3 linked regions of the Danio rerio genome follow. The protein of the gene in region 1 interacts with the protein of each later gene in a biochemical or structural test. Links are inferred from orthologs where the notes say so. Each region holds a gene or a part of one and is shown on either strand. Other genes may lie near its edges.

Region 1 (3,657 bases):
AGAATCTGATGTCAGAAGCACTTCAGTAATCACACGCATGTTGTTATCATCAGCTCAAGAAGTTCGTTAATTCAAATATAAACGCGCATGCGAGGATCGCAAGCTCTCTAGAGAAAGTGAAACCGCTCGAGCTTTTAAACAACCTCGTAAAACAACAACAGGACACGGCAGATTTTGTTCTTTTTGGCTTTGTGGCTTATCAAGACATTCAGCTGTGCATCTGGCTCCGCCTTTTGGTACCCTTTTTTTTTTGCTAAGTACCCTAGGGTACCCAAAAATTTGTACAGTACGGTTCGCTTTTTGGTACCTTTTCGACAGTGAAAATGGCCATAAAAGCGCACCGCACCCTACCGTACCACTAAGTGAAAACTGGCCATTTATTTTTACCTCTGAGTTTACCTTTGGGCCACTCCAGACAATAGATGAACAGCAACTACTGTGGAGGTGGAGATAAAGATAGTAAGGTCCCATCTGAATGGTCAAATTTAGATAAATCACCACTGCATAAAATTGTGCGATTACTTGTATTGCATATCCTATTATCGCAATAACCATAATTTTGTGATATATAGTGCAACCCTACTCCATGATATATTTTTTTCATTTAGCAACTTAAATCTGAGTAAGTGTGCACTGACTTATTCTACATAACTGTTTACTTATTGAACTGTACATACCCACTGCATATGGGCATTTGTAATTATGTACACACCCACTATACATATACACTTGTAATCATGCTTATTTATCTGCATACTACTGATTATTAATAGCAACCTGCACATATATTCATATATTGTTACATATACACTTGTGATCATGTTTATCTATCCCTGTACATATATTCATATATTGTAACATATACACTTGTAATCAAGTTTATTTATCTGCACACTACTGATTATTAATAGCAACCTGCACATATATTCATATATTGTAACATATACACTTGTAATCATGTTTATCTATCTGCACACTACTGATTATTAATAGCAACCTGCACATATATTCATATATTGTAAATCTGTTCATAGCTTATCCAACCTGTATATAATGTTCATAGTACATCCATTCCATCTGTAAATATCACCATAGTTTTCTATAACTGCACTTTATAACTTATTCCTGTATCCTGCACTTGCTGCTATTGCACTGCTGGTTAGACCTAAACTGCATTTCGTTGCATTGTACTTGTACATGTGTAATGACAATAAAGTTGAATCTAATCTAATCTAATATCTCCATTTTGGGAGATCATCATCCACAATGCTGTTGTGGTGTTTTAAGTATTATTGCTGTTTCTACAGGTACACCCCAGTCGGACGTTCATTCTTCACTCCATCGGAGGGCTGCTCTAACCCTCTTGGTGGAGGAAGAGAAGTTTGGTTTGGTTTTCATCAGTCTGTTCGGCCATCACTCTGGAAGATGATGCTCAACATTGATGGTAAGATTGCACTGACCGTATTCGTTGGACTTGATTTTGCACTTTGCTAATGATTTCTCTGTATAATCGTTTTTAGTGTCTGCCACTGCGTTCTACAAAGCTCAACCCGTCATTGAATTCATGTGTGAGGTTTTGGATTTTAAAAGCATCGAAGAGCAGCAAAAGCCCTTAACAGATTCCCAAAGAGTGAAGTTTACCAAGGAGATCAAGGGTAATTTCTTACAGTGGTCATTGACATTTACAACGGCTTTTATGGAGTTTATTTTGGGATAATGTGAATTTTGCATTCATTTTACAGGTTTGAAGGTTGAAATTACTCACTGTGGACAAATGAAGAGGAAGTACAGAGTGTGTAATGTGACGAGAAGACCAGCCAGCCATCAAACGTAAGATTTGACGACACAATTTCTAACTTGCTGTAGTAAAGAATTTTTAGGACAACATACTTATTCAAAATTGTATTTCAATTGTATGAAAAGTTCTCTGATTTATATCCCAAAGCAGCTTAAGCAATCAATTAAATTTATATCAAGCAAGCAACACATGCACACACATAGATTTGGGGTGTAGCACATTTCCCACATGCCATATTTTAAACATTTCTAAACAATTTTTATACTTAAGTTTTTTTTTTTGACTATTTTCATTTTTTTTTTAAATGCATTTTATATTCCTTTTTTAAACTCCAATACTGGTCAGTTTAAAGGATTTAATGTAGATCAAGGGGAATTAAATGCATGTATAAAATGTTTGGAAAAGTTTTATTTAGAAATACTGGCTTATTTTACACTATTTCTGGACATCTAAACACCAGTGTCTTAACATGGTTTTAATCTCAGTACCATGGCCCCTCACTGTAACGTGGTTCAGCTATCGTGGCCTCACATTTTCGCAGATTTTTTATTTTCTTTTGTGCAATTTGACTTTTTTTTTTTATGCGTCCTGATTGGCTGTAGACCATTGTCAATCAATCTCCTTCATGTCTCCTGTACCGTACAGAATGCATTCAGCTTGACAAATTAACATAAATCTTTGATCGCTATCAGTGTGAGTTTTAACAAGGATGCCCCACAGCGCCTTGCATTTTAGAATTGTAAATATAGGTTTCTATCAGGGTTTATATAGGTTTCTCAAGCTCCCAGCGTCGCCCAGATATGACTCGGGACTGTTCATATTTTTGCCGTGGCACAGAGCGCCGTCTGAATAATTTAATTTTAAGTAACATGCAAATGTGCGTGTACTGTGTGCGTTACTTCCAACTGTCATGTGCGAGGCGCATCCGGTGTGCAATCCCCTTAAGAATGGAGTCTGCTTAAGTTTTTTGAATCAGTGACTGCACGAAAAAGAACATTACACTGGATGCCAACATTATCCGCACAAAAGCTAAAAAGCTTTATAAACGTTTTGCTAACAGTGATGAATGTTTGCGTCTGACAGCAGGTTTTGATCTTTGGTTTTATTCTATAACACTGAACTTATTTTTCTGGACTTTTTTTTTTTTTTTTTTACTTTGAGAGTGTTTAAACAAGAGAAAAGAGTGAAAATGCTAATTCCTGTCTGAGAAAAATGTGTAGTAAGGGATTTTACAGCCTTAAAGCATCTATAATAATTGTACAAAAAATAATAAAGCTGACTACAAGGATTTCGCCTGTTGAGAGTTATTTTTAGAATGCAACTCCCGCAAATAAAGAGGGACCTCTGTACACCCAAAAAATATTTTTGCTTCTTGTTCAAACTGCTTATTTAATATAAGCTGAAAAAACACTAAAAAAAGCAGGACAAATTTAATGCATTAAACTTGACGGATTTGTGTTGAGACCACATGGTTGAATTGTGTGGAACCATGCGTTTTGTATAGTGTATTCTATTTTTTGTCATCACATTTAATATTTCTCATTGAAAGATTCATTATTTTGAAGCTGATGTCTTTAAAATGTATTTTGTTTGTCTCTAGGTTTCCTTTGCAGCAAGAGAATGGTCAGACCATTGAATGCACTGTCGCCCAGTACTTCAAGGATAAGTACAAACTGGTGCTTCGATACCCACATCTCCCATGTTTACAAGTTGGTCAGGAGCAGAAACACACCTACCTTCCGTTGGAGGTTGGTTGAAACCACATCCTGGACTTGCTTTTCCCCCTTTTTCTCTCATTTCCTTTTCTAAAATTTGTTGTTATTATTATTTAAAAAATTTCAGGTCTGCAACATTGTAGC
Region 2 (3,757 bases), on another chromosome or scaffold:
TTTCTTTATAAACGTCAGAATGTTAAAAGACAAATCCTTTCTTATAGAGCATTAAAAGTAACCTAACCTGCCTAGATAACCTAATTAACCCAGTTAAACCTTTAAATGTCACTTTAAGCTGTAAGTGTCTTGAAAAATATCCAGTCAAATATCATGTACTGTCATCATGGCTAGATAAGATAAATCAGTTATTAGAAATGAGTTATTAAAATTATTATGTTTAGAAATGTGTTGAAAAAAATCTTCTCTCAGTTATATTATAAGTGAATATATTTTGAGTATTTCATCTTTATTGTTTTGAGACCCAGCGTTAAAATAAACCATGAATAAACAAACAATAAAAAGAAAACATAAGAAATAAAAAAATAAAACTCAAATAAAACACAAACTATAGGAACAAAGACTAACATATTCCGTTACAAACATGTCTGGGGTGAAATATGCATGAGAAAAGTTAAATAGGAAAAATTATTAAATTAGAAATTTAACTGGAATGACACAATATACACAGGCTACTTGTGAATATCAAACGAAAGACAGTACCAACAAACATTTAAAAATATCAACAGTCAGTGTTGGGGGTAATATATTACAAGTAATGCGATTTACGTAATAATATTATTTTTCCAAGTAACGAGTAAAGTAGTGCATTACTTGTTATAATATTTTATTTATTTTGAAAATGTAACACAAGTTACTTTTTATTGTAATTAATCAGCTTTAAAAATATTAAAATGCTGAATTAAAAGTGAAGTAGTCAAAATAAATTACACAATCAATGGGAGAATGCGTTCATTATTTTGAAAAGGAGACTGTCTTAACGGACAATGATACTTCAGAAAAATAGTACAAAAGTAGCAAACACATTGCTTTAAACTTTTGATAATCTGTATATACTGCATGCATAGCCCTGGCATAAGGAATTCTCAGAAAACATTATCCTAAAATATTTTTGATGTGTTTTTTAAAGGTAAATGTAGGTTTTACAGTGTGTTATTAATTACAGAGCTCCTCTATTTAAAAAAAAGATAGAAAAAAAAAGTTCTGAAAGAGATCAAGCCTCAGCCAGGTATTTAAAAGTTACGCAAAAATAACTCAGTAACGTAACACATTACTTAACTTACCATAAAAAATAACTAACGCAACTAGTTACTTTTGGGGAAATAACTCAATAATGTAATGCATTACGTTACTTAAAAGTAACTATCATCAAATTCTGCTATTTTAGTGTGAGTAAAAGCGCTACATTTTCTTCAAACATCCATACTGCCTACAAGTGCGACTTTTATTTTGAAGTAGCAGAATCTCTTTGGATTTGTTGTGTAGTTAGCAGTGCTCGCAGTTTCCGCGTTGTTTGCAGTAGCGGGCTTCACATGCGTGCAGTAGCCTGACAACAGCAGCAGCAGCAGGAGGGAATGGGGAGAGAGGGGCTCCGCACCGTTTAACAAGACACTCTTCAGCACAACACGACCATTAAAACAATTCACCATCGGTGAGCACTAGCCTCAATCTACAAGCACCTCCCGCGCTGATCGCTTATGTTTGTTTTTCCTCTCAGGATCTTGAAATAATCAATAAAATCAGCCGAAGCTAACACGAGCTCGCGTGCTAACCTCTGCCAGCCTAAAAACCGAACTGTCCGGTGTACATTTGGTTGGGAACTGTCCGTGCGTTCAACCTTTGACCGTGTAAATGCAATAACGTACGTGCTTCGTTACATGAGGGTTTTAAATGAGGTAAATCAATGTATGGTGTTTAATTCTTGCGTGACGATGCCTTTTTAGCTACACGCGTCTGCTAGCCTCAAACGTTAGAAGACTGATTCACATGGCAGGCGTATACTGAATATGAGCACAGTTTGAGATCTGGGGATGCACTTCATGTGTAATCAGAGATTAGCATTAGCGCAGAAGTCGCGTTAATGGTTGGCAAACTGACAGATGCATGATTTTTTTTGGAGGGGGGCTCGGGTGTGTTGCTGGCCAAGGCCAAGGTCGCGATGAGGCCTAACTGATTTGCATGATTAAAAATCTTTAGGGTATGGTGATATATTTAGATGCTTCTGTGATTGTTAAGGTGTTCATAGTGCCGTAAATATGTTGCTGGAGGGCATTGATTTTCATCTGCGTGGCATTTGTTTGTGTAAGAAGCATTATTGTTGTGTGTGGGGTACGTTAGTCTCGTATTGAAGTGTTTTCTTTTTATTTTAGAATCAAGTCAGTGTGGTATTAAAAGGGATAGTTCACCCTAAAAGGAAATTTATGTTGTTATTTGCTCATCCACTTTAGGTTTAGGACAAAACCTGTCCAACCCCAAAACAATTTACAAAGGAATGCTGAAAAAACTTAGTGAGGTGAAGTTGGTTTTGTATTCCTTCATTTTAATGGTTTCTGTATTGTTTGCCATGCTACTTTGAATATTCGATCTGAAATTGCATTTAAGTATGATTTTAAAACAACATTAGCACTATTTTATTGACGCATTTAAAGGGGATAGTTCACCCAAAAATGAAAATTATGTTGTCATTTGTTCATTTACATGTTCCAATCCAAATTCTTTAGTTGAACACAAACAAAGATACTAAAGAATGCTGAAATAACTTACTGAGGTAAAGTTGATTTTATATTCGTGCATTCGTTCATTTTAATTGTTCCTTTAATTGTTTACAACTCTATTTTGAATATTCGATCTGAAATTGCATTTAAGTGTGACTTTAAAACAACGTTAGCAATAGGGGTGTGCGATTTATTAAAATCGAATCGCAATTTGATAGAGGCTGCAATATAAAATGCATATGTAAACAAATAACATCTTCAAAACCAGTCCGCTATGCTTCAGAAGATTAAACATGCTAGCTAGACTTTCTGAGATGGTGTCATGAGGCATCACAAACATGGTATCGGTTAGAACTGCACGATTCTGGCTAAAATGAGAATCACATTTCTTTGCTTAAAATAAAGATCACGATTTTCTCACAATTTTGTAGATGTAAAATAAAGGTATGGTAAAAACAAACATATGGCACAACCTCAATAATAATATTATGTGTAGGTCTACTGGTTTATATAAATAATTCTATTCTATATTAATCTATTCTTATAATAATTCTTATGTTGAATGATTATGTTTGAGATATATGCTTGCAATCTGTCATATTAGACAATTTAATTCACTGGTAAAATCAGACATTTGCCATTATCAGATTTTATTAAAGAATATATAGGCTAGAGTAGTTATACTGACATTGTAAACATTTATTTTCATGCACAACTGTGAGTTCGCTATGAAAGAAAAAACATATCAAATGCTTGTCGTTATCATAACTCTAAAATGCGATATGATCATTAAATGAAGTGCACACTTTGTTTCATTTTGATTGCGAAGTGCTTGTTCATACTTTGCGCGCGGCTCCCAAACGATCACTCTGTGCCACAAACTGAATATTATTAAGAACTTTATTACCTGTTACTCGCAACATACGCAGGTTCTGTTGACTAAAGTAGACGCACCCCTCTCTGTGATAACAGCTTACGTCACGTATGATTTCCTGATCGTGAAAACATTATATTAAAACAAAAATAATATTTTTAGGTGAATAATACCTTATAAATACAGTATGTGACTCATTCAACATCATTTAGAGGTGTCAATGTCACTAAACAACGTTTGTGAAACGAGGAAAAGACTCGTGCAGCTTTTTCTTCTCTCCTGAACTTGAAAATATGATTGGCAGAATCGTAGAAATGCTGGATTAAGA
Region 3 (3,657 bases), on another chromosome or scaffold:
GGGTAAGTTGATCATTATATTTTATAGTTTGTATTACATATGCTTGGTTTTTGTGTCATAAAAAAGTCTAGCATATCTTGAAGATTTTATTTTATTTCAGATCCAAGCCAGGGCCCTGTGGGTCCAGCTGCTCCCTCACTGCCCCATACGTCATCCGCCTCATCAATCGCTGCTTCTTCTTCTTCAAATTATGCAAATTCCATGTGGGGGACCAGCTCTGGCAGCCATCCCCTCTCTCAGGGCAGGGAAAAGGTGATAGTGGACCGGTCAGACCTGGAGGAATGGCCCAGTATTGCTGCTGGGGATGGATCAAAGTCAGGGGATGCAGCAGGTACAGGAGGTACAGACAGTGGTGCGATTCTGAACTGCAATGCCTCGTGGGGTGAGAGGCATCTCCAGCAGCAAGCGAAAGTTGTGGGAGGAGGGAACGGAAGGAAAGGAGTCAATTCTGGCAGTCCCTCTCCGCCCACATCCTCTGGATCACCCAATGAATGTATGCAGTCTGGTAGTGTTTGGGCTTCATCCTCCCATGAACTCATAGGGGGGAATGCAGTAGCAGCAGGCTCATTGCCCCCCATATCCAAAGCTGCCCCTCTCCCAGGGAGCTCTGATAGCTCCTTTGGTGTCAGCTGTGGGATTCCAGGTGCCAATTTTACCCCTAATGCCAATCCCTCTGCTTGGCCAGCCCTAGTACAGGAAGGGGCTGGGACAGTTGCAACAGAGGGTGGCTCCTCTTCCCTCCAAAGCTCATCTTTGTCTGCCAGCAACCCTCTTTCTGTGAATCAAGCCTCTCATCAGCACCAACTTCACCAAATGCAATCCAGAGACAGAGAGCCATCCTGTGGAGAATGGGGTGGCACAGCACTGGAACCAGGAGCAGGACCAAAAAACACTGGGGTGACAGAGGGGGCTGATATGGACTCTGGAAGCACAGGTGGAGGAGCAGGCTCTGCTTCGTCTTCCTCCTCCACCAGCTCATCATTGTGGAGAACTCAGCCTTTCCCTGCAAACTTCAAAACGGGTGCCTCAAGGACTGAATCTTGGGATGATGGAGCAGGAGGGAGCTCCTTGTCTGCTGAAGGTGGGAAGGCATGGGGATATCCCGGCCAGGACGATCGAGGAGATTTGACGGGGGCAGGTGCCTGGGGAACAGGAAGTGGGGGTCAGACCCCCGGGGTATCTCAGGGAGCGTGGGGTGGGGACCATTTGTTGGGTGGGGAATGGGGGGCATCCAGTGGTGTTGGAGGTGTCAGTGATCAAGGTGGGAAAGACGGCTCAAGCAGTAACAGCAGCAGTAGTGGTGGTAGTGTCAGCATCCCGACGACAACCTCCTCCACACCTTCAACTATGACAAGAGCTTGGGACAATCAGAAAGCAGTTGGGGATGTGGGAGCAGGAGATTTGAGTGAGTGGGGAGGCCAGGGTAGCAGAGGTGGGGAAGGTACCTCATCCTCCAGTGGTGGAGGAAACTCCAGAAGTGGCAATCAGCGCCATGGCCACCACCGCACTCATAAGCCTCCTGACCCTGAAGTGGCCTTACAGGATCTGCTTAGCCGGTCGGATCTGGACCCCAGAGTGCTGTCCAATACTGGTTGGGGTCAGACACAAATCCGTCAGAATGTGGCATGGGATTTGGAAGATGGAGGCAGAGCAAAAGCACCTGGTGGTGCAAATTCTTTGTCTATTGGTGCATCTGCTCATGCCCAGCCATACTCTGGTCCTAGTGGGAGCACAACTACTGATCCATCTTCCCCCTCTCTGCTCCAAGCTGCATCTCTAAATGCCAACTTAAACTCAAACTCCATCCTTGGACCACCCGCAGTTTCATCTGGTGAAGGTTGGGACAACAGTAGTAGCAACAGCAGTTCTTTGCATACCCGAGGCCCTCCACCCTCAGGTGTCAATATCCAAAACCCTAGCGTCTCACAATCTGGAGGTGGAGGAGGTAGCTCAGCTGGTGGGCAGGGCATGCCATCTGGGGGTTGGGGAGGGACTGCATCATCAGAAGGCCAAGTAAAGGGCTGGGAAAGCGAGGGACATGAGTGGCGAGAACGGCGAGCAGGAGGTTCGTCAGGTGGGTGGGGAGATTTCCAAACACAGGGTACTCCATCAACAGGAGGAAGTGGCTGGGGAGATAGTCAGGAGGAGAAAGGAACAAGATCAAGTGGATGGAAAGAAATGGGGAGGGTGGATGCAGGCAGCTGGGGACCGAGAGGTACCAGCGACTGGGGAGAAAAAGAGTCTAAATCGTGTAGTGGGGGGTGGGATGGAAAGGGTGGTGGAGGTACTAGTGGAGACTCAGAAGTGGGTACATGGGGTAATTGGGATGATGGAACTCCTGGAGGGACATGGGGAGGGGTGGGTGGAGACATGGGTGGAAAATCTCACCAAGGTTGGGGTGGGAAGATGCACCCTTCACAAATGCCAAACAGCCAATCAGCCTCACAGAAAGGCCCGGCACAGCAGCAGCAGCAACCACAATCACAGCCTCAGCAGTGTCAGTCAGTGGACACAGGGGCCATGCAAGGGGGCTGGGGAAGACCAGCAGGTCCTTCAGTCCAGAGCCAAAGTTCAGGGTGGAATTCAGGGCCTATACCCCAAATTTCCAATGGCCCTGGAGAGACTTCAGAGCCCAGCGGTTGGGAGGAGCCTTCTCCACAGTCCATCAGCAGGAAAATGGAAATTGATGATGGAACATCTGCTTGGGGTGACCCCAGCAACTACAACTACAAAAGTGTCAACTTGTGGGATAAAAACAATGCCCCATCTGGCCAGGCACAATCAGTGTCCCCTCAGCAGGGCCCCCCACCCCTGCAACAGCCGCCACCAGGAAGAATGCCAACAGGTCTTGGGAATAGGGACATGAACATTGCACATTCAGCAAGCAAGGGGCCAGGAATAGGTAAAAGACTTGTTTTATTCAAATTATAGTTTCATTTAACCATTGTCAAAACAGTTGAAATTCAGCATCAAACACCCAAACTAAAAAAAGGTCTCAGCATATCTTAAAAACAAATTAAAAAAAAAAAATTAATTCTTTTATTTATATTTTAGCTTCTGGGTGGGGAGGTCGTGGCTCTCCTTCCAGTCCTTGTGTGGACAATGGTACTTCAGCCTGGGGTAAACCTACTGAAGCTCCCACTGGTTGGGATGACAGTGGCAAGGCCTCAAGTTGGGGGGATCCCTCATCCAATCCAGTGAAGTCTGGTGAGTCTAGATTTTAAAATAATTGCGGTGGTTTTTTGATCACTTTCAATCGTGAATGTATTGATATTTCTGAACAGTTTAAAGGTAGATAGTAAAATTCTAAACAGTTTAATGTTGATATTTTTACAGGTTCAAAGTCTATGCAAGAAGGTTGGGTAGAAGGAGAGGGTTCAGTCAGTGCTTCGCGTAACCCTAGCTGGGAGGAGGAGGATGAGAGTGGTGGTGTTTGGAATAGTGCTGGTTCCCAAGGCAGCAGCTCTTCATATAATTCTGGAGGCTGGGGAGCCAAAAAGGGCAACAAGGTATGTCATTGGTCAGACTAGGGAACAATATTTATACAAATCTGGAAACTAATCAGGATCTTTATATCTGGTTAATACATTACATTTTTTTCAGGGCTCCTTGAAGGGTGCAGGAGATTCTTGGATGAACCCAATGTCAAGACAGTTT

What was found.
Region 2: the proteins of ago2 (region 1) and dicer1 form a complex in vitro, tested with the Homo sapiens proteins (2 studies listed by BioGRID and IntAct). The link is inferred for Danio rerio from reciprocal best matches to the Homo sapiens genes AGO2 and DICER1.
Region 3: the proteins of ago2 (region 1) and tnrc6ba form a complex in vitro, tested with the Homo sapiens proteins (3 studies listed by BioGRID and IntAct, with this or other methods). The link is inferred for Danio rerio from reciprocal best matches to the Homo sapiens genes AGO2 and TNRC6B.

What each region holds. Positions count from the first base shown.
Region 1 is NC_133194.1:44,207,482-44,211,138, forward strand, and holds part of ago2 (protein argonaute-2), read left to right. Parts: intron 1-1,307; coding exon 1,308-1,444; intron 1,445-1,520; coding exon 1,521-1,655; intron 1,656-1,742; coding exon 1,743-1,830; intron 1,831-3,398; coding exon 3,399-3,546; intron 3,547-3,640; coding exon 3,641-3,657.
Region 2 is NC_133192.1:20,754,959-20,758,715, reverse strand, and holds the start of dicer1 (endoribonuclease Dicer), read left to right. Parts: upstream 1-1,391; 5' UTR 1,392-1,688; intron 1,689-3,757. UniProt on the Homo sapiens protein: Double-stranded RNA (dsRNA) endoribonuclease playing a central role in short dsRNA-mediated post-transcriptional gene silencing.
Region 3 is NC_133187.1:20,949,897-20,953,553, forward strand, and holds part of tnrc6ba (trinucleotide repeat-containing gene 6B protein), read left to right. Parts: intron 1-100; coding exon 101-2,902; intron 2,903-3,054; coding exon 3,055-3,207; intron 3,208-3,336; coding exon 3,337-3,509; intron 3,510-3,603; coding exon 3,604-3,657.